Linked DNA regions of Macaca fascicularis. The protein of the gene in region 1 binds, or shares a complex with, the protein of each later gene. Links are inferred from orthologs where the notes say so. Each region holds a gene or a part of one and is shown in the gene's direction. Other genes may lie near its edges.

Region 1 (5,796 bases):
TGCAGACCTGTGACATCCGGGGCAGTCTGCAGGAGGACAGTCAGGTCACCGTGGCCATCGTGCTGGAGAACCGGAGCAGCAGCATCCTCAAGGGCATGGAGCTCAGCGTGCTGGACTCACTCAATGCCAGGATGGCCCGGCCGCAGGGCTCCTCCGTCCATGATGGTGTCCCCGTGCCTTTCCAGCTGCCCCCGGGTGAGCCCTGCCCCACTCACGGCCTCTCCTGGGGATTGTGGGAGCACGGTGGCAGCTGGTGGCTGCCCGGATCCACTGGTTCTTGTTGCTTCCTCCTCACGTTCCCTTGGTCCCCAGGCTGCACCTCAGTGCCTCCTCAGTGTCGGGGTCTCACTGCAGCTCTCTGAGAAGTGTGATGGCCTCGGATAGACCTGGCTAGAGCCCCAAGGGCTGGGCTGGGGGCTGGGGCCTTCCTGGGTTCCACGGCTCCAGTGGCCGAGTCTGTCCTCTGAAACAGGGATGGGACCAGGTCCAGGCCAAACTGGGGACTCCACTAGCCTCTTGTTTCTGCTCCTGTCCCCTGGTGCTCCCTTGGGGGCTGAGCTCAGATTCCTAATCAGCCATCGAGGAGTTGGGGCTAAGGACAGACCCGGGGGCCCCGCCCATGCTGAGCCCCAGCTGCGTCTCAGGCCCCACTCCCCCTCTTCCCCGCCAGGCGTCTCCAACGAAGCCCAGTATGTGTTCACCATCCAGAGCATCGTCATGGCGCAGAAGCTCAAGGGAACCCTGTCCTTCATTGCCAAGGTATGCGGGGCTCCACTCGGCGTCAGGGAGCCGACTCTGCAGGCTGGGGCTCCTCCTGCCTCATTCCAGTGGGTGTCCAGGTGTCCCTAGGGGAAGTGGGCCACCTGCCTGGGGAGCCCGGAGCTCTGACCTGGGCCTCACTCCCCACTCAGCTGCACCACCTTCCCTCCACTGCAGAATGACGAGGGCGCAACCCACGAGAAGCTGGACTTCCGGCTGCACTTCAGCTGCAGCTCCTACCTGACCACCACACCCTGCTACAGGTGGGGCCCGGCCACGCCCACCTCCTGCACCCCTCCGCCTCCCGCACCCCTCCGCCTCCCTCGACCTTACAGACACCTGTGCCCTGGAGACTGAGGCTTCTGGGCAGGACTTTAGAGACAGATTTGGAGGCCTGGCTCGTGGCTGGTGCAGGTCAGGCTGCCTGGTGTCTGCACCAGCTGGGGCCGCGTAGTTGAAGCCACAGGCCTGGCAGCGTCACCCAGAGAGGCTCTGGCTCCTGGCAGTCCTGGAGGCTGGAGGAGTGAGATCAGGGAGCCAGCAGCACGGGCTGCTCCTGAGGCCTCTCCTCAGCACGGCTTGGCGTGCGGCACTGCCTGCCCCCCGAGTCGTTGCAGGCTGTCCTCTGTGTGCCTGCGTCCTAGCCTGTCCCGCTAGTCCTTTCCTACAGGACATCCGTCCTTGTCAGAGGAGGGCCCACCCCATGACTTCAGGCACCTCTGTGACCTCTTTAAAGACAAGTCATTATCAGTTTCTGGGTGTGAGGGCTTCCACACATGAAAATAAGCCACATCTTCCAGGACCCCCGAGACCTCCCGGCCCAGACAGGCAGGAGGTGGCATGTGTGGCAGGTTTTGTCGGCTTCTGTGCCAGGGAGCCTGAGGAACCCGGCCCCACCGGAGTCAGCCTCCCTGTCCCTCCCACAGTGACACCTTTGCCAAGTTGCTGGAGTCTGGGGACTTGAGCATGAGCTCAGTCAAAGTCGATGGCATTCGGATGTCCTTCCAGAACCTTCTGGCAAAGATCTGTTTTCACCACCATTTTTCTGGTAAGGAGAGTGAGGGGCTTTCACACGCGCGGCGGCTGTCCCTTCCTTTTGGAGCCGGGTCTGTGGCCCTCGCACCCAAACTCCCACCCTTTGGGATCCCGGGTAACTGGTGGCCCCGAGGCCTGGAAGCTGGTGCGGGGGCTGCATTCCCCACACCCCAGGCTTCCCAGGGCCACACCCTGCTCCTGCAGACCTGAAGCTGTGGCCAAGGGCAGCCCAGGAAGGTGGCCCCTGCTCTGGGGGTGGGGCTGCAACCATGCGGTGTGCGGGGGCCTGACGCCGCCCGCTCTGTTGCAGTTGTGGAGCGAGTGGACTCCTGCGCCTCCATGTACAGCCGCTCCATCCAGGGCCACCACGTCTGCCTCCTGGTGAAAAAGGTGAGCCTTAGGTCACGGCACACACCCTGGCTCCCACCTCTCCTGGGGCCATGCCCAGGCCTTCATCCCCAGGGGTGAGCCTTGGGACTTTGAGGGCTCAAGGACAGTGATGGCAGCACCACAGCCGTGAGCCCCTCACCTGTGCCAGCCCCACTCAGTAGCGCAGACTTTCCCTCAGCAAGACGGGGCTTCCGCCTCCTGCTGTGCTGCTCACCCCAGGCTGACACATGGCTCCGGGGGCCCCCACTCCCACTGCACTCCTGCCCCCCACCCCACCCCTGTGCACAAGGCAGCCAAGGTCCTGGGGTCGGACTCTCCACCTCTCACTGCTGAGCTTCCAGAATGACTCCTCGCCCGCTCCGCTCCAGGCCTCCCTCTCCTGAGTATTGCAGGGTGGTTGTCTTCGCAGTGTGTCGACTGCCAAACTCAGTGTGTGACTGTTTTGTTGAGGGCTTTCGTGTGTGTATATGAGGAGTTGGGTCTTTAGTTTTCTTTTCTGGTACCGCCTTTGGTTTTGTCATCCAGTGACCTCATCAGACACGCAGGAGAGTGTGTCCTCTCTGTTTTGGGACAGACTGTGTGATGAGTGGCATTTTTTCCTTCGAAAGAAATGTGTGTACAGAATTCATCAGAAAACCATTGGGCCTGGGGAGTTCCTTTTCTGCAGGCTTTTAGCTACAACCGCAGTTTTTTGTGTTAACAGTTATAGGAATCCCCAAGTTATCGCTCATCTTGGGTGAGTTTGGTAGTTTGTACTTTTCAGAGAACAAGCGTAAGGAATCATCAGGGTCACTGAGCTGATGTGCGGAGCGGTGCGCGCCGCGGTCTTGCTGCTCCGTTTCTTTTCACTGCTCTTTGTGATGATCCTGGGTCACTTTCTGTTCTGATGGTCACGGTTTGTGTCTCTTTTTTCCTGGTTCTCCTGGGTAGAGGTTTGTCCATTTTATTGCACTTTTCAAAGAACCAATTTTTTTTGATGTCTGGTTTGGTTCCAGTGCCCTTTGGGAGCATACTGAGGATTTCCAGTTTGCACGTGTTTCTTTCGCTTCTCCGCCTTCTTCCTCATGTTCATTACTCAGCATTCCTCAGTTCCTAGAGGTCTGTTGTGGTTTTGATACCCTTGCTTTGTATTTTTATGTGTGGGTGTCCAGGGATCGTGCATACATACTTTTATTTATTTATTTATTTATTTGAGACGGAGTCTTGCTCTGTCGCCCAGGCTGGAGTGCAGGGGCGCGATCTCGGCTCACTGCAAGCTCCACCACCCGGGTTCACGCCATTCTCCTGCCTCAGCCTCCCAAGTAGCTGGGACCACAGGCGCCGCCACCACGCCCGGCTAGTTTTTTGTATTTTTAGTAGAGACAGGGTTTCACCATGTTAGCCAGGATGGTCTCCATCTCCTGACCTCATGATCCACCTGCCTCGGCCTCCCAAAGTGCTGGGATTACAGGCGTGAGCCACTGCATCCGACCTGCCATTGATGTTCTTTTCATTCCTAACGTTCCAGTTTTCTCCTGGTTCACGGCCTTCCATGAAACACTCACTCCCCGTCACCTCCCCAGCCCCTGGCACCCCGTATCCTACTTTGTGTCTTGGTGAATCTGATGACTCTAGGGACCGCCTAGGAGTGGAACCACACGGGATGTGTCCTTCTGTGTCTGGCTACTCTTATTCCACCTCATGTCCTCAAGGTGCATCCACATCGCAGCCTGTCAGGATTCCCTTCGTTTTCAGGGCAGAATCGTATTCTCTTGTGCGGGTGGACCGTGCTGTGTGTCCCCTCATCCATTGCTGCTCCCACCTTCTGGCTGTTGTGAATTGTGCTGCTGTCAACATTGTTGTTAAACAAATAACTGTTTGAGTCCCTGCCTTCAGTACTTTTGTTTTTGTGTTTTAGTTTTTGTTTTTGTATTTGTTTTGGAAATAGAGTCTTACTCTGTTGGCCAAGCTGGGGTGCAGTGGAGCCAAGGGCTCACCACAACCTCCGCCTCCCGGGTTCACGCGATTCTCCTGCCTCAGCCTCCTGAATAGCTGGGATTACAGGTGTGCGTCACCTTGCCTGACTAATTTTTGTATTTTTAGTGGAGACGGGGTTTTGCCAGGTTGGCCAGGCTGGTCTGGAACTCCTAACCTCAGGTGATCCGCCTGCCTCGGCCTCCCAAAGTGCTGGCATTGCAGGAGTGAGCCCATTTGTTTTGAATATACACCCAGGAGTGTGATTGCTGGGTCCTGTGGTGATTCCATGTTTGAGGTTTTGAGGTTTTGAGGAGCTGCCAGACTGTCTTCCCCAGCGCTGCACCGTGTATCCCATCTGCCGCCAGGCAGGAGGCCCCATTTCTTCACCTGTCATTGTTATGCTGACAGCAGCCATTCTTTTTTTTTCCTTTGAGATAGAGTCTTGCTCTGTCACCCAGGCTGGAGTGCAGTGGCGCGATCTCAGCTCACTGCAAGCTCCTCCCGGGTTCAAGCGATTCTCCTGTCTCAGCCTCCCAAGTAGCTGGGATTACAGGCACGCACCACCTCGCCTGGCTAATTTTTTTGTATTTTTAGTAGACACAGGGTTTCCGGGGTTTCACCATGTTAGTCAGGCTAGTCTCGAACTCCTGATCCGCCTGCCTCAGCCTCCCAAAGTGCTGGTATTAGAGGCATGAGCCACTGCGCCCGGCTGACAGCAGCCATTCTGATGGGCGTGAGGCGTCTGGGAGCTGATTTGTTTTGCTGCTTTTTGGGTGTTGCGCTCTTCCTCCCCAGCCTGGGCTGCTGCCCTTCATGACCCGAGGCTGTGTTCAGATGGGTTCATGGTTGTTGCTCTCCTGCCAAGCTCACCACTCTGCCTTGTCCTGGCTGTTCTGCTGTTGAGCCCACACAGGGAGGGTCTGTTTTTCGGGTCTGAAATTCCCACTGGGCTCTTCTTGTATCTTCCATGTCTTTGCTGATGCCCTGGTGATCTGTTGGAGTGTTTTCTAAGAGCTACTTTAAAGCTTAGGCCAGCTGGGCATGGTGGCATGTGACTGTGGTCCCTGCTACTCGGGAGGCTGAGGCAGGAGGATTGCTTGAGCCCTGGAGGTCGAGACCAGCCTGAGAACGTGGCAAGACCCCAGGACTACAAAAAATTTAAAAATTAGCCAGTACTAAGAAATTAGTACAGCAAGCCTCTAGTCCCTGCTACTCGGGAGGCTGGGGTGGGAGGATCTCTTGAGCCCAGGAGTTCAAGGCTGTGGTGAGCCCTGATTGTGCCACTGCACTCTAGCCTGGGCAACAGAGTGAGACTCCAAAAAAGAGAAAAAGAAAACTTGTGTCAGAGAGTCCTAGTATCCATCCGCCTTGGTGTGCCGGTGGCCTTGGTGTTGGGGTCTGTGGGTTGGGGTCTTGATGTTGGTTTCTGCCAGTGGCCTTGGCATTGGTGCCTCGGCATTGGGGTCTGGACATTGGGGTCTAGACATTGGGGTCTGGACATTGGGGTCTGGGCATTGGGGTCTGGGCATTGGTGCCTCGGCATTGGGGTCTGGCCGGTGGGGTCTCGGTGTTGGGGTCTGGGCGTTGGGGTCTGGGCATTGGGGTCTGGGCGTTGGGGTCTTGGTGTTGGGGTCTGGGCGTTGGGGTCTGGGCGTT
Region 2 (5,796 bases), on another chromosome or scaffold:
TTACTAAATTCTCTTTTTACTTTACAATGTCTCTTGGACAATAGCTAATACATTGGTATAGCTGAAACAGGAACTCATACTTTTCTGAATTCTAAACCATAATGCCTATTATATCTATTGGAAAACATGATTTTATACTTGATAAACTTTTAGTGGAGTCTTTAAAAGTAACTTTCTTTTATAAAAATGTAAAGTTTATTTTATACCTTGAAGAGTCTTTTTCTCTTTCATTTTATACTCATCTCTTTCTGTGAACCTCTATAGAGATAAAGCTAAAATTATTAAGTCTCTATATACTATAAAAAAATCAAACTAAAGATTGAGAGTAACTGTATGCAGTGAAAAGAATGCTGAATAGGAAGGATTTAGAAACCCTGGGTTTTACCTATGCAAATTGAAGAAGGCACCTACTTTTCTCTATATCAGATAAATGAAGGGGTAGAGTTAAATATTTCTTAAAGTCCCTTCATTGCTAAAATTCTGTGAGTGATTTGCCTAATGAAAACTATATTGGAGTCACTTTCTGATGCTCTTATTAACACTTAACCTAATAGGCAAGTCTGCCCCAAGACCAAGTGATACCCAACTTTCTCTAAAATCTTATACCTTGGAGAACCAGGGCCTGTCACTCTTACTTGGTTATCTACTACCCAACTCTAAGGTAATTCACTCTCTTTTCTCTGTGTTCCTTATCAAAAATCTTTGTTTTTAATATCTGATAAATTAATCTGTGATACATTACCTTCTGAAGTAATCAACTGAAAAGTAGAGAAATAATTGAGAAAGTAGATATTAAAAAATATGGAATTTCAGGAGTAATGTAGACCTGTGAGAATTATCTGTGTAATTAATCATGTACTTCTTCATTTTGTAGAATTACATATAGATATTTGTCTACATTATATTTATTCACTAGCCCATGCCTATTCATAGGCTGACCATTTTTAATACATACACGAAATATTCCATTAACATTACAGCTTTTCATGAGTTTGTCTGAATACATGTAATAATGAGTCATGTGGCAGGAGTTCTACTGTAGCTGCCAGAGGAAAAAAGAAAACTTTTCTTGCTAGAAGTTATGAGATTGGCTGGGCGTGGTGGCTCATGCCTGTAATCCCAGCACTTTGGGAGGCTGAGACAGGCAGATCACAAGGTCAGGAGATTGAGACCATACTGGCTAACACGGTGAAACCCCGTCTCTACTAAAAATACAAAAAATTAGCTGGGCGTGGTGGCACGTGCCTGTAATCCCAGCTACTCAGGAGACTGAGGCAGGAGAATGGTGTGAACCCAGGAGGCGGAGGTTACAGTGAGCCGTGATCACACCACTACACTCCAGCCTGGGCAACAGAGCAAGACTCCATCTCAAAAAACAAACAAAAATGTTATAAGATTGTGTTTTCCAGGTAGCAAGTATTTTTGAGAATAAACTAATTTTCTCTAAGATTTTACTGACTCGAAAATTTAAATAATGGTGCCTGAAGTCAGCTGGCCCCAGATTCGTGTTGCAGTCCCATGTGATGACATGAGAGAGTAACTTAGATGCTGTAATTTCTTTTCATCGTTTATAGCATAAGCCAGTTATCTGACTTAATATGTATGTGTGTGTAACTTGGATATTGCCACAAATTTAAAATGTCCTTATTTAGTAGCTTTATTTTAGTAAAATAAACTTTCCTGTTTGTAAATGATGATAATGATGAGCACCTTAACCTGTGGCAGACCCTGTTGTGTTCTAATCACCTTTATATGTTTCAAATCATTTAATCTTCAGAACAACTCTGAAAAGTAACTAGTATTATCCCCATTTGCCGAAAAGGAAACCAAGACCCAGAGAAGTTGAATAACTTGATCAGTTTTACAACTGGCAGGTAGCAGAGCCAGGATCTGAATGCGAACACTAACTTGATAACCCATGCTTGTACCCCTTGCAAGCCATCTTGAAAGAATACAGGCACTCCTAGCTTTTCACTGTGATGGACCTTCCTGATGTTGGTGTTATTTAACCATTAGAATGTTTAATTAAAGGTTGTGTTCCTGCCTAAGAGGGCTTCGTTACGTAGATCACAGGCAGGGCAACAGTTTGTCCTTTTGTCTAGGACACAACTCTGTAGTTGTAGTCATTTTAAATAGTAAAAAATACACATATATTTTTCATGTGTTCTCTTCTGCAGAGAGTCCTAGCATACCATAATTTATACATAAAACATTTAAAAGTATAATTCCTCAATGTAACTTGATCATCTCTTTGACCTATGGAAAACTCCTTTACTAGCTCGAATAAGTAATAACTCTTTAATTAGTCATTTGCCTATTGTCTTTGAATTTGGAAGTTTTTCCAGGTGATTTGAATGGCTCATTTTCCTCTCAAAATTTGTTCCTAAGAAGATTAAACTGTTGCCTTCTTTTACTCTAAATAGAATTTCCCATTACAAGCAGAAGAATTTAAAATTATTTCTTTAGCCTTACATCAATCTTTATGTAATTCTTTAAAAGAAAGTTTTTGACAAAGCTATATACTTTGGGGTTTGAAAAGTGAGATTCCCTCAAATTTGGTTTACTTGGTTCATCTTTGCTTAGCTTTTCTCTACTCATTGTCAGAGCATCCTCTCTCTGTCTGCCTCCCTCCAAACTCACCGTGCTAAAGGAATCCATAGAGCTGAAAGAATGGGGTATGGGAATGAAATGTTAAACACGTGGTGTCCACTGAACTAAAATTCAACATCTGGTTTCATTTGAGATGAATATTGACAGTTACAGGTGTCCGTGTGTCTAATTAAATGACTATAAATCTAAGAACATCTGGTTCTGTTTTTCAGAGAGTGAATCTGGAAGTGAAAGTGGAGAGCAAGGCGAAAGTGGGGAGGAAGGAGACAGCAATGAGGACAGCAGTGAGGACTCCTCCAGTGAGCAGGACAGTGAGAGTGGAAGGGAGTCAGGCCTAGAAAACAAAAGAACAGCCAAGAGGAACTCAAAAGCCAAAGGAAAAAGGTAATGTATTTTGTCAGAATTTCCTTCAAAAAATATTCTGTGAAAGTTTGCCCCAGGCAGATGTTTCTTGTTAATCAAAAAATGATGAGAGAAAAGAAGTGTGTATTTTTTCCCAAACAGATATTAAATCTTTTTAAAATTAAAGTGCTAGTTCACATTATTTTCCTACTTGTAATGCTTAGCTTTCATTTTGAACTTGAACATATCTTGGGGTTACATTTTGAAAATTGGTATAACCTTGGAAGGCTGAGTTAAGTGATCAAGCAATAGGTATGAAACACTTAATTACCTTTTGTAGCAATTTTGCTGAGGGCTAAAATTAAATCCTTCAACACTTTGCCATTATGTAACCAAGACAATTGATTTTTCTAAATAATGTTATATTAAAAAGATTATGATCCAAATATTAGAGTCAAGGGCTGTGAAGGAAGACGGTCATAAGAGCTTTAAGTGTTAGCACTTTTTAAGATCTCCCATTATCAACAACATTATCATGTATTAAAGTGTCATTAAAATTTTGAGTAATTGGGGCTAATATCTTGGATTGTGCAACTCTGTTTTCCCCACTGCTGTCAGTGAGTGGCCTCTGCCGACATGATGGTCCTTTCCCCAGGAGCCTGCTGCCCGCTCACTTGATGAGCTTGCAGCTCGGCTCAGTCGTGGCTGACAGCACTGATTGGGGCGCAGTACGCTCTCTGCTCCTTTTATTACAGACAGTAATTAAAGCAGCTCGCCCTGCCACTTCCATAACAAACACAGCATAATGCCCTAATTATGACTTTATTAATTTAAGTCAGGATTTAATGATTTTAAAAGTGATTTATATTGTTTTTCCTGTTCAGAACAAATGAAATCTGTAGGTTAAATTAATACAGGCTTTTCATCATTGCAAAGTTAGAAACCTAGTTACCAGTAAATTCTTTTCATTAGATTAACATCTGAAACTCTAAGCAGTAAGGTAAACAATAATTACCATCAAAATTGAGTGATGCATAATAAAATAACACTTTTACTTTTAAAATCTTATCTTAAAAGCTGGAAGTTAAATATATTTAGAATCATTCACTTGTTGCAGCAAAGGAGCTACTTGGTTTATAATAGCCTTGTCTTTGAGAGAAATCCTGTACTTCTGGTTTAATATCAGAATATCTATGATGATATGAGTTATAAAACATGTCTTGTTTCTAGAAAGGGAAAGTTTTGTTCAGTGCATGAAATGTCCTTTCAGATGGCAGAAGTCAGTATACTAGAAATTTGTAGTCATGTATTAGTTTTATTATTCCTTTCTTCAGAAATAGATTTTTCTCTTTACCCACATTTGAATTTAAAAGAATTGTTTATTACAAAGAGAACCACAAATACATTCTAAACCTTATATTTTTAAGTACACATTTTAACCAGTGAATTGGGGATAATAAATTGCCGTTTTTTTGCCAGGGAAAAACAACAACATATTTTTCAGTCTTCAAATATAATTACATGTGCTCTGAGATGTTGCCATGGCTCCATTTTTAATAAACAGCAATCATATTTCCTCTACAAAAATCAATTCTAGGAAATATCGATTCTTTCCTTGCCTCACTCCTCTCCCTCCCCCAGTATTTTTCTGCCTCTTAGAATGTTTTTTTAACTTTGCTAGTATGATAATTTTTTAAAGCTCTTAATAAGCTTTAAGCATCTTCAAAAACCACCCTTTAGTAATCATAAATATTTATGACCGAATTTAAATTTTACACTCCAAAGTGTTTTCATTTGAAGGGAGATAGTATGACATAGTGGAAAAAATACGGACTTTGGAGTGAGACAGGCTTGAGTTCAGATTCTAGTTCTGCCCCTCTTGTTATGTGTCCCTGAGCAAGTTATTTAACCTTTCTGAATATTAATTTCATTATTGTAAATGGGATAATAATGTACCCAGGAAGAGTGCATTTAAATTAGGTAATCAGTATGATTGGTATGAAATGCCTAGCCCTTTCTGGCCCACAGTAGATTCTTAAAAATATACACACACATGTTGTAGAGAGAACTAGACTTTTAGTTTCCAGGAAAATATAAAACACCACAAGGCATCTCTCATCCCCTGAGATAAGGGTGTTTGGTCATCTCACATGTTATTCCTTCTCCTTGGAGAGCTGCTTCCCTGCCCATCTGCCAGCCTTACTCCTATATCTTGGCTTATATGTCTCTTTCTCCAGGAAGCATTCCTAATTGGATTAAGTTTGTTTAGGTGTCTCTCCAAATGTTCTCCTGACACACTATAATTTATTACTTACTATACTGTATTATCACTGCCACCTTATCTATATCCTCCAGTGGACTGTAGACTCTGTAGGGTAGACACACATAGATCCTCTTAACCATTGTTATCCTTAGCACCTAACATAATGCCAACATGTAGTCAAAAATTAATTAATATTTGTTGAGCAGATGAACAAATGAACAAATGAATGGTGTTAAGCACTTAGGTATGATCATTTGGTAATTTAAAAGTTTATATTTGATTAGCTTAAATTTGTAGCAAGATAGTACTTTAGAAGTTCCTTTGTTAACCAGAAACACATTTCTCATAGAATGTGTTTAAGGTCACATTTGAGAACTTGTAGTAAGTAATTTTCTTGGGTAGAAAAGTGTATAAAATACAAGTCTATTTTAGCAAAAGTAGATATATAAATATTTAAATATATTACTAAACCGGGTGTGGTGGCTCAAGCGTGTAATCCCAACATTTTGGTAGGCCGAGTTGGGAGGATTACTTGAGCCCAGGAGTTCCAGACCAGCCTAGGCAATATCGTGAGACCCTGT
Region 3 (5,796 bases), on another chromosome or scaffold:
CTCTACTATAAATACTAAAATTAACTGGGCATGGTGGCAGGCGCCTGTAATCCCAGCTACTCGGGAGGCCGAGGCAGGAGAATTGCTTGACCCCAGGAGGCAGAGGTTGCAGTGAGCCAAGACTGCACCACTGCACTCTAGCCTGGGTGACAGAGCGAGACTCCATCTCAAAAAAAAAAAAAAATTAGTCCTTCCCTTGCATTTATTTTATACATAAGGAAAGCCCAGAAGGGTTAAGTGAACTGTTCCAAGTCACACAACTTGTTAACATGTAGTGATGGTTTATTGTGAATTATAGTCAATATCTTCTCTTCCATGAGTGCCCTTTTCATTATAACATTCCATCTTATAGAATAACAGATTTTTGCCAGGCACGGTGGCTCACACCTGTAATCCCAGCACTTTGGGAGGCTTAGGCAGTAAGATCACTTGAGCCCAGGAGTTGAAGAGCAGCCTAGGCAACATAGCGAGACTCCGTATCTATCAAAAATTTAAAAGATTAGCTAGGCATGGGTTCCTTAATCCCACCTATTCAGGAGGCTGAGGCAGGAGAATTGCTCGAGCCCAGGAGTTCAATGCTGTAGTGAGCTATGTTCACACCACTGTACTCCAGCCTGGATGGCAGAGGGAGACCCTGTCTCTAAAAGAAAGAGAGATCTTTCTATTATGGATCCTATTTCTTAAAAGTTGACTTAGTCCATTTCATAATACCCTTGCCTCATTTTAAAATTCTATTGAAAATGTTTTTGGTTTGTTTTATTTTGTTTTTGAGACAGAGTCTCACATTGTCGCCCAGGCTGTAGTACAGTGTTGCGGTCTCGGCTCACTGCAACCTCCGCCTTCTGGGTTCAAGCAATTCTCCTGCCTCAGCCTCTCAAGTAGCTGGGACTACAAGCACACACCACCACGCCTGGCTAATTTTTTGTATTTTTAGTAGAGACGGGGTTTCGCCATGTTACCCAGGCTGGTCCCAAACTCCTGAGCTCAGATAATCTACCCACTTCGGCTTCCCTAAACGCTGGGATTACAGGCATGAGCCACTGTGCCTGGCCTCATATGTTTTAAACTCATATCCAGTCATCTTACAGGGTTGGCTCCATAAAGGAGACAGTTTAATTTTCCTTAGAATTAGCATATTCTGGCTGGGTATGGTAGTTCGCACCTGTAATCCCAGCACTTTGGGAGGCTGAGGTAGGCAGATTGCTTGAGCCCAGGAGTTCGAGACCAACCTGGGCAATGTAACAAGACCCTGTCTCTACAAAAAAATACAAAAATTAGCCAGGCATGGAGGTGCATGCCTGTAGTACCAGCTGCTTGGGAGGCTGAGGTGGGAGGATTGCTTGAGCCCAGGAGGTTGAGGCTGCAGTGAGCCGTGATAGCACTACTACACTCCAACCTGGGTGACAGAGAAAGACCCTGTCTCAAAAAAAAAAAAAAAAATTATATTCTACAGTGGCATACCTGTAGTCCCAGTTACTGTGGGGGCCAGCTGGGACTAGCTAGTAAGACCTCATCTCTTAAAAAAAAAGAAAAATTATCATATTCCAACCAGAGTTAGGTATGGACCTTGTTCCCTGACCTGTTAATAGAGATGTAAAGCTTCAGTAAGTCTGACACCCAGAGGGTATCTCCATTATTCTAAATATAGTGATTGTTGGGCTAGGTGTCATGGCACGCGCCTATATTCCCAGCTATTCGGGAGGCTAGGGCGGGAGGATTACTTGAGCCCAGGAGTGAGGCTGCAGTGAGCTGTGATCGTGCCACTGCACTCCAACCTTGGCAACAGAGCAAGACTCTGTCTCTAAAAACAATAAATAAATAAAAATAAAAAGATATAGTGATAGCTCTAGTTAAGACTCATATTCCGTTGATGTTATCTTCCTTTTTCTTTCTTTCTTCAGGATCTACAGTCTTTGCAGAAATTCAGGGGGTCATTGATGCTTGCATTAAACTATCTGGAATGCCCGATCTCTCCCTTTCTTTCATGGTAAGTTTTATTCTCCTGTTTTATAGCCCCTTGAATGCCTAATACATGTGAAGTACTAAATGAAATGATAAATATTGAGATAAGTTTGCATCTTAGATTGCAAAGGATTGTCTCAGAAATATTCCTAGCAGAGTTTCCTAAGACAGGCACTTACATGATGAGCGTGGTCTTTATGGAAAGGCTAAGGGAGGTCTTTGCCTGAGTGTGCTAGAAAGGGCTTAAAATTGGCTGGCTGGCTTCTGCAAATATCCAGTATCATTTTTACTGAGTAATTATTTGCTTTGCTGATATGAAAGGACATTGGTCTTTTGTATCATTTTAGAGTCAGCATGACATACTGCTAGGAACAATTAAGAGAACTGACTTCTGGTGTTGTCACCAGTTTGTTCTGACCTTAAGTCCTCTGAACCTCAGTTTTTTAATCTGTTAAAGGGAAATAATACTACTTGCCTTTTCTCCTTTATGGTTATTGAAATTCAATAAAATAATGTACATAAAATATTTACAAACTTTAAAGCATTGTGAAACTATAAGGTTGTGTAGATGTGGTCATAAACTCTTCCATGACTGCTTTATCTTCAGGGAACATATTGATTTGTCAAGGTATCTAAGTACAGTTCCCATATTCATTATGCTCTATGAACACGGCTGTCTTCTGTTTTCTTGACAGAACCCTAGGCTTCTGGATGACGTCAGCTTCCACCCCTGCATCCGGTTCAAGCGTTGGGAATCTGAAAGAGTTTTGTCATTTATTCCTCCAGATGGAAATTTCCGACTCATATCATACCGTGTCAGCTCACAAAAGTATGTTGATGCATCAGCCAGAATCTGCCATCATACATATCAAGCAGAACTCACCTTTCCCTGTTCCTTTATGACAGTTGAGTACTTGAGGTCGTCATTGCTCACTTTAACCATAGCTCACCGGGAGACCCAGTGAGAACTGGTGAAAATACGCACCTAAAATATCAGTATACTTTGAATGTATGAGTGTAGAGTGGTACTAAGTGAGACTAGAGTAAAATCTATAGCCAAGGGCAAGCAAACCATGCATAACCTGGGCAAAAGGTTTTGGTACTGGTTCTTTGCAAGGTTACGCATTGTCAAATTATGGCGCTGGTTCTTTGCTCAGGTTATGCACGGTCCATTTTGCTCTGCTTCTGACAGCTGAGTACTTTGCAAGCAGAGCAAAATGGACTGTGCATAACCTGGGCAAAACCATGAACCACTGCCATAATCTTACCATAGTCTGTAGACTTTGTGGCTAACAAGGAGACAGACCTACCTGTAGTTCGTGAGGACATTCCCAAACTTACCTGCTTCAAGTCAGTCTTCTCTGCTTCGAGGTTTTAAGGAACTGTTTAGCATTGAGAGCCGGGTGCAGTGGTTCACTCCTGTAATCCCAACACTTTGGGAGGCCAGTGTGGGCAGATCACTTGAGGTCAGGAGTTCTAGACCAGTCTGGTCAACGTGGTGAAACCTTGTCTCTACTAAAAATACAAAATTAGCCAGGCGTGATAGCGTGTGCCTATAATCTCAACTACTTGGGAGGCTGAGGCATGAGAATCACTTGAACCTGGAAGGCAGAGGTTGCAGTGACAGATCATGCCACTGCACTCCAGCCTGGCCAAGAGGGTGAAATTGCATCTCAAAAAAATAAAAAAAAATTTAGCATTGGGGATCGTAGTTTTATAGCTAGTTTGTTTCTTGAAAATACCAGAAGTTATTTGAGTAACATTATGACAGGACTCAAAAGCAGACAAATTATTTCTTGGCTCTTTTTTTCTTTGAACCGGAGTTCGGCTCTTGTTGCTCAGACTGGAGTGCAGTGGTGAAATTTTGGCTTACCTCAACCTCCACCTCTAGGGTTCAAGTGATTCTCTGCCTCAGCCTCCCAAGTAGCTGGGATTACATGCATGTACCACCACGCCCGGCTAATTTTGTGTTTTTAGTAGAGACAGGGTTTCTCCATGTTGGTCAGGCTGGTCTCGAACTCCCGACCTTGGGTGATCCGCCCACCTCAGCCTCCCAAAGTCCTGGGATTACAGGCGTGAGCCACCGCACCCAGCCTGTTTCTTGACTCATCACATAGGAACTGTTTTCATTTATATAAAACATATTTTACATTATTTTTCAGTGGGATCGTAATTCATTTTTTTAAACTAGGGCCATTTGCCCCAATTGTTTTTTTTTTGTTTGTTTGTTTTATGTTTTTTTGGTTTTTTTGTTTGTTTGTTTTGAGACGGAGTTTCACTGTTGTCGCCCAGGCTGGAGTACAATTCTGTGATCTTGGCTTATGGCAACCTCTACCTCCTGGGTTCAAGTGATTCTTCTGCCTCAGCCTCCCAAGTAGCTGGGATTACAGGCGCCCGCCACCGCGCCCAGCTAATTTTTGTTTCTTGTTACTTTTTTTAGTAGAGAGGGGGTTTCACCATGTTGGCCAGGCTGATCTCAAACTCCTGACCTCCAGTGATCTGCCTGCCTTGGCCTCCCAAAGTGCCAGGATTACAGGCATGAGCCACTGCACCCAGCCACCCCCAATTGTTTATACTGTTATTAAACTTCAGATTTCTGTCTTGATTTGTATACAGTTCCCAGCACAGTGGTACCAGAACATTATGCTATACTCAGCTCCCCCTTGTGTAGATGCTGAATCTGCAGTTCTGGAGGTACCGCCATCTTGGTATCCTTGGAGGATTGGTTGCAAAAATCAGCAGATGCTCAAGTCCCTTATATAAAATGGTGTAGTATTTGCATATAACCTATGCACATCCTCCTGGGTACTTAAAATCATCTCCAAGTTACTTGTGATAGTACACTGTAAACACTGTGTAAATAATTGTTATACCAGGTTGACTTTTTATTTTTATTATATTTTGTAGTTGTATTGTTATTTTTTTTTTTTTCTTTTTTTTTTTTGAGATGGAATCTCGCTCCGTTGCCCAGGCTGGAGTGCAGAGGCGCAATCTCAGCTCACTGCAATCTCCACTTCCCAGGTTCAAGTAATTCTCCTGCCTCAGCCTTCTGAGTAGCTGGGACTACAGGCACAAGCCACCACACCCAGCTAATTTTTGTATTTTTAGTAGAGACGAGGTTTCACCATGTTGGCCAGGCTGGTCTTGAACTCCTCACCTCAGCCTCCCAAAGTACTGGGATTACAAGTGTGAGCCACCACACCCAGCCTCAGCTAATTTTTGTATTTTTGTAGAGATGAGGTTTCACTATGTTGGCCAGGCTGGTCTCAAACTCCTGACCTCAGGTGATCCCCTCCCACCGCCGGTCTCGGCCTCCCAAAGTGCCGGGATTACAGGCATGAGCCACCACGCCTGGCCGATAGTGTTAAATAATATTTTCAGTCCTCAACTGGTCAAATTCAAGGATGCATAACTGTGGCTACAGAGAGCCAACTCTGTAGCACCTTATTGTGGAGTTAAAGGTACAGTAGGATACTCTGGACAGAGGTTTTCAGGATACCTCTGATGCTTTCCCCACACCATTAATTGTGTTTATGCTTTTGTATCTTTCTCTGTTTCTCTTTTTAGTCTAGTGGCAATACCAGTGTATGTGAAACATAGTATCAGCTTTAAAGAGAACAGTTCTTGTGGCAGATTTGATATAACAATTGGACCAAAGCAGAATATGGGGAAAACTATTGAAGGAATTACAGTGACAGTTCACATGCCAAAAGTTGTGCTGAACATGAACCTGACAACCACACAAGGCAGCTATACATTTGATCCAGTCACCAAGGTACAGCCACTTCAAATCAAGAGTGAGCAAGTGTTTCTGCAATCTATTTTGTGATTTGT

The links. Proteins that work in one complex are often made in the same cells at the same time.
Region 2: the proteins of AP3D1 (region 1) and AP3B1 are in contact, whole or in part, in a cryo-EM structure (PDB 9C5C), measured with the Homo sapiens proteins. The link is inferred for Macaca fascicularis from reciprocal best matches to the Homo sapiens genes AP3D1 and AP3B1. Residues at the interface, in NP_003929.4 of Homo sapiens: Lys352, Leu442, Ile446, Ser471, Tyr483, Trp487, Glu491, His517, Ala520, Val521, Gln524, Asn525, Lys528, Val561, Gln562, Ser563, Ala564, Leu566, Glu567, Gln569, Glu570, Arg571, Ser573, Cys574, Gln577, Leu578, His581, Ile582, Leu585, Lys588; in NP_003655.3 of Homo sapiens: Asn75, Lys466, Lys467, Gln470, Val494, Ala497, Ser498, Trp501, Leu531, Leu534, Gln535, Asn538, Lys542, Asn567, Tyr568, Asp569, Asp572, Arg573, Arg575, Phe576, Ile577, Gln579, Leu580, Lys586, Gly588, Ala589, Leu590, Ser591, Tyr593, Lys596.
Region 3: the proteins of AP3D1 (region 1) and AP3M1 are in contact, whole or in part, in a cryo-EM structure (PDB 9C5C), measured with the Homo sapiens proteins. The link is inferred for Macaca fascicularis from reciprocal best matches to the Homo sapiens genes AP3D1 and AP3M1. Residues at the interface, in NP_003929.4 of Homo sapiens: Lys29, Glu388, Gly389, Thr390, Thr391, Arg393, Glu429, Arg432; in NP_001307192.1 of Homo sapiens: Ser25, Ser27, Asp30, Tyr31, Glu34, Pro52, Asp104.

What each region holds. Positions count from the first base shown.
Region 1 is NC_088393.1:2,747,808-2,753,603, reverse strand, and holds part of AP3D1 (AP-3 complex subunit delta-1), read left to right. Parts: intron 1-5; coding exon 6-195; intron 196-670; coding exon 671-759; intron 760-911; exon of another isoform or gene 912-936; coding exon 937-1,022; intron 1,023-1,685; coding exon 1,686-1,807; intron 1,808-2,104; coding exon 2,105-2,184; intron 2,185-5,796. UniProt on the Homo sapiens protein: Part of the AP-3 complex, an adaptor-related complex which is not clathrin-associated. The complex is associated with the Golgi region as well as more peripheral structures.
Region 2 is NC_088380.1:82,073,622-82,079,417, reverse strand, and holds part of AP3B1 (AP-3 complex subunit beta-1), read left to right. Parts: intron 1-2,822; coding exon 2,823-2,994; intron 2,995-5,796. UniProt on the Homo sapiens protein: Subunit of non-clathrin- and clathrin-associated adaptor protein complex 3 (AP-3) that plays a role in protein sorting in the late-Golgi/trans-Golgi network (TGN) and/or endosomes.
Region 3 is NC_088383.1:72,310,296-72,316,091, forward strand, and holds part of AP3M1 (AP-3 complex subunit mu-1), read left to right. Parts: intron 1-1,901; coding exon 1,902-1,987; intron 1,988-2,657; coding exon 2,658-2,791; intron 2,792-5,529; coding exon 5,530-5,737; exon of another isoform or gene 5,738-5,759; intron 5,760-5,796. UniProt on the Homo sapiens protein: Part of the AP-3 complex, an adaptor-related complex which is not clathrin-associated. The complex is associated with the Golgi region as well as more peripheral structures.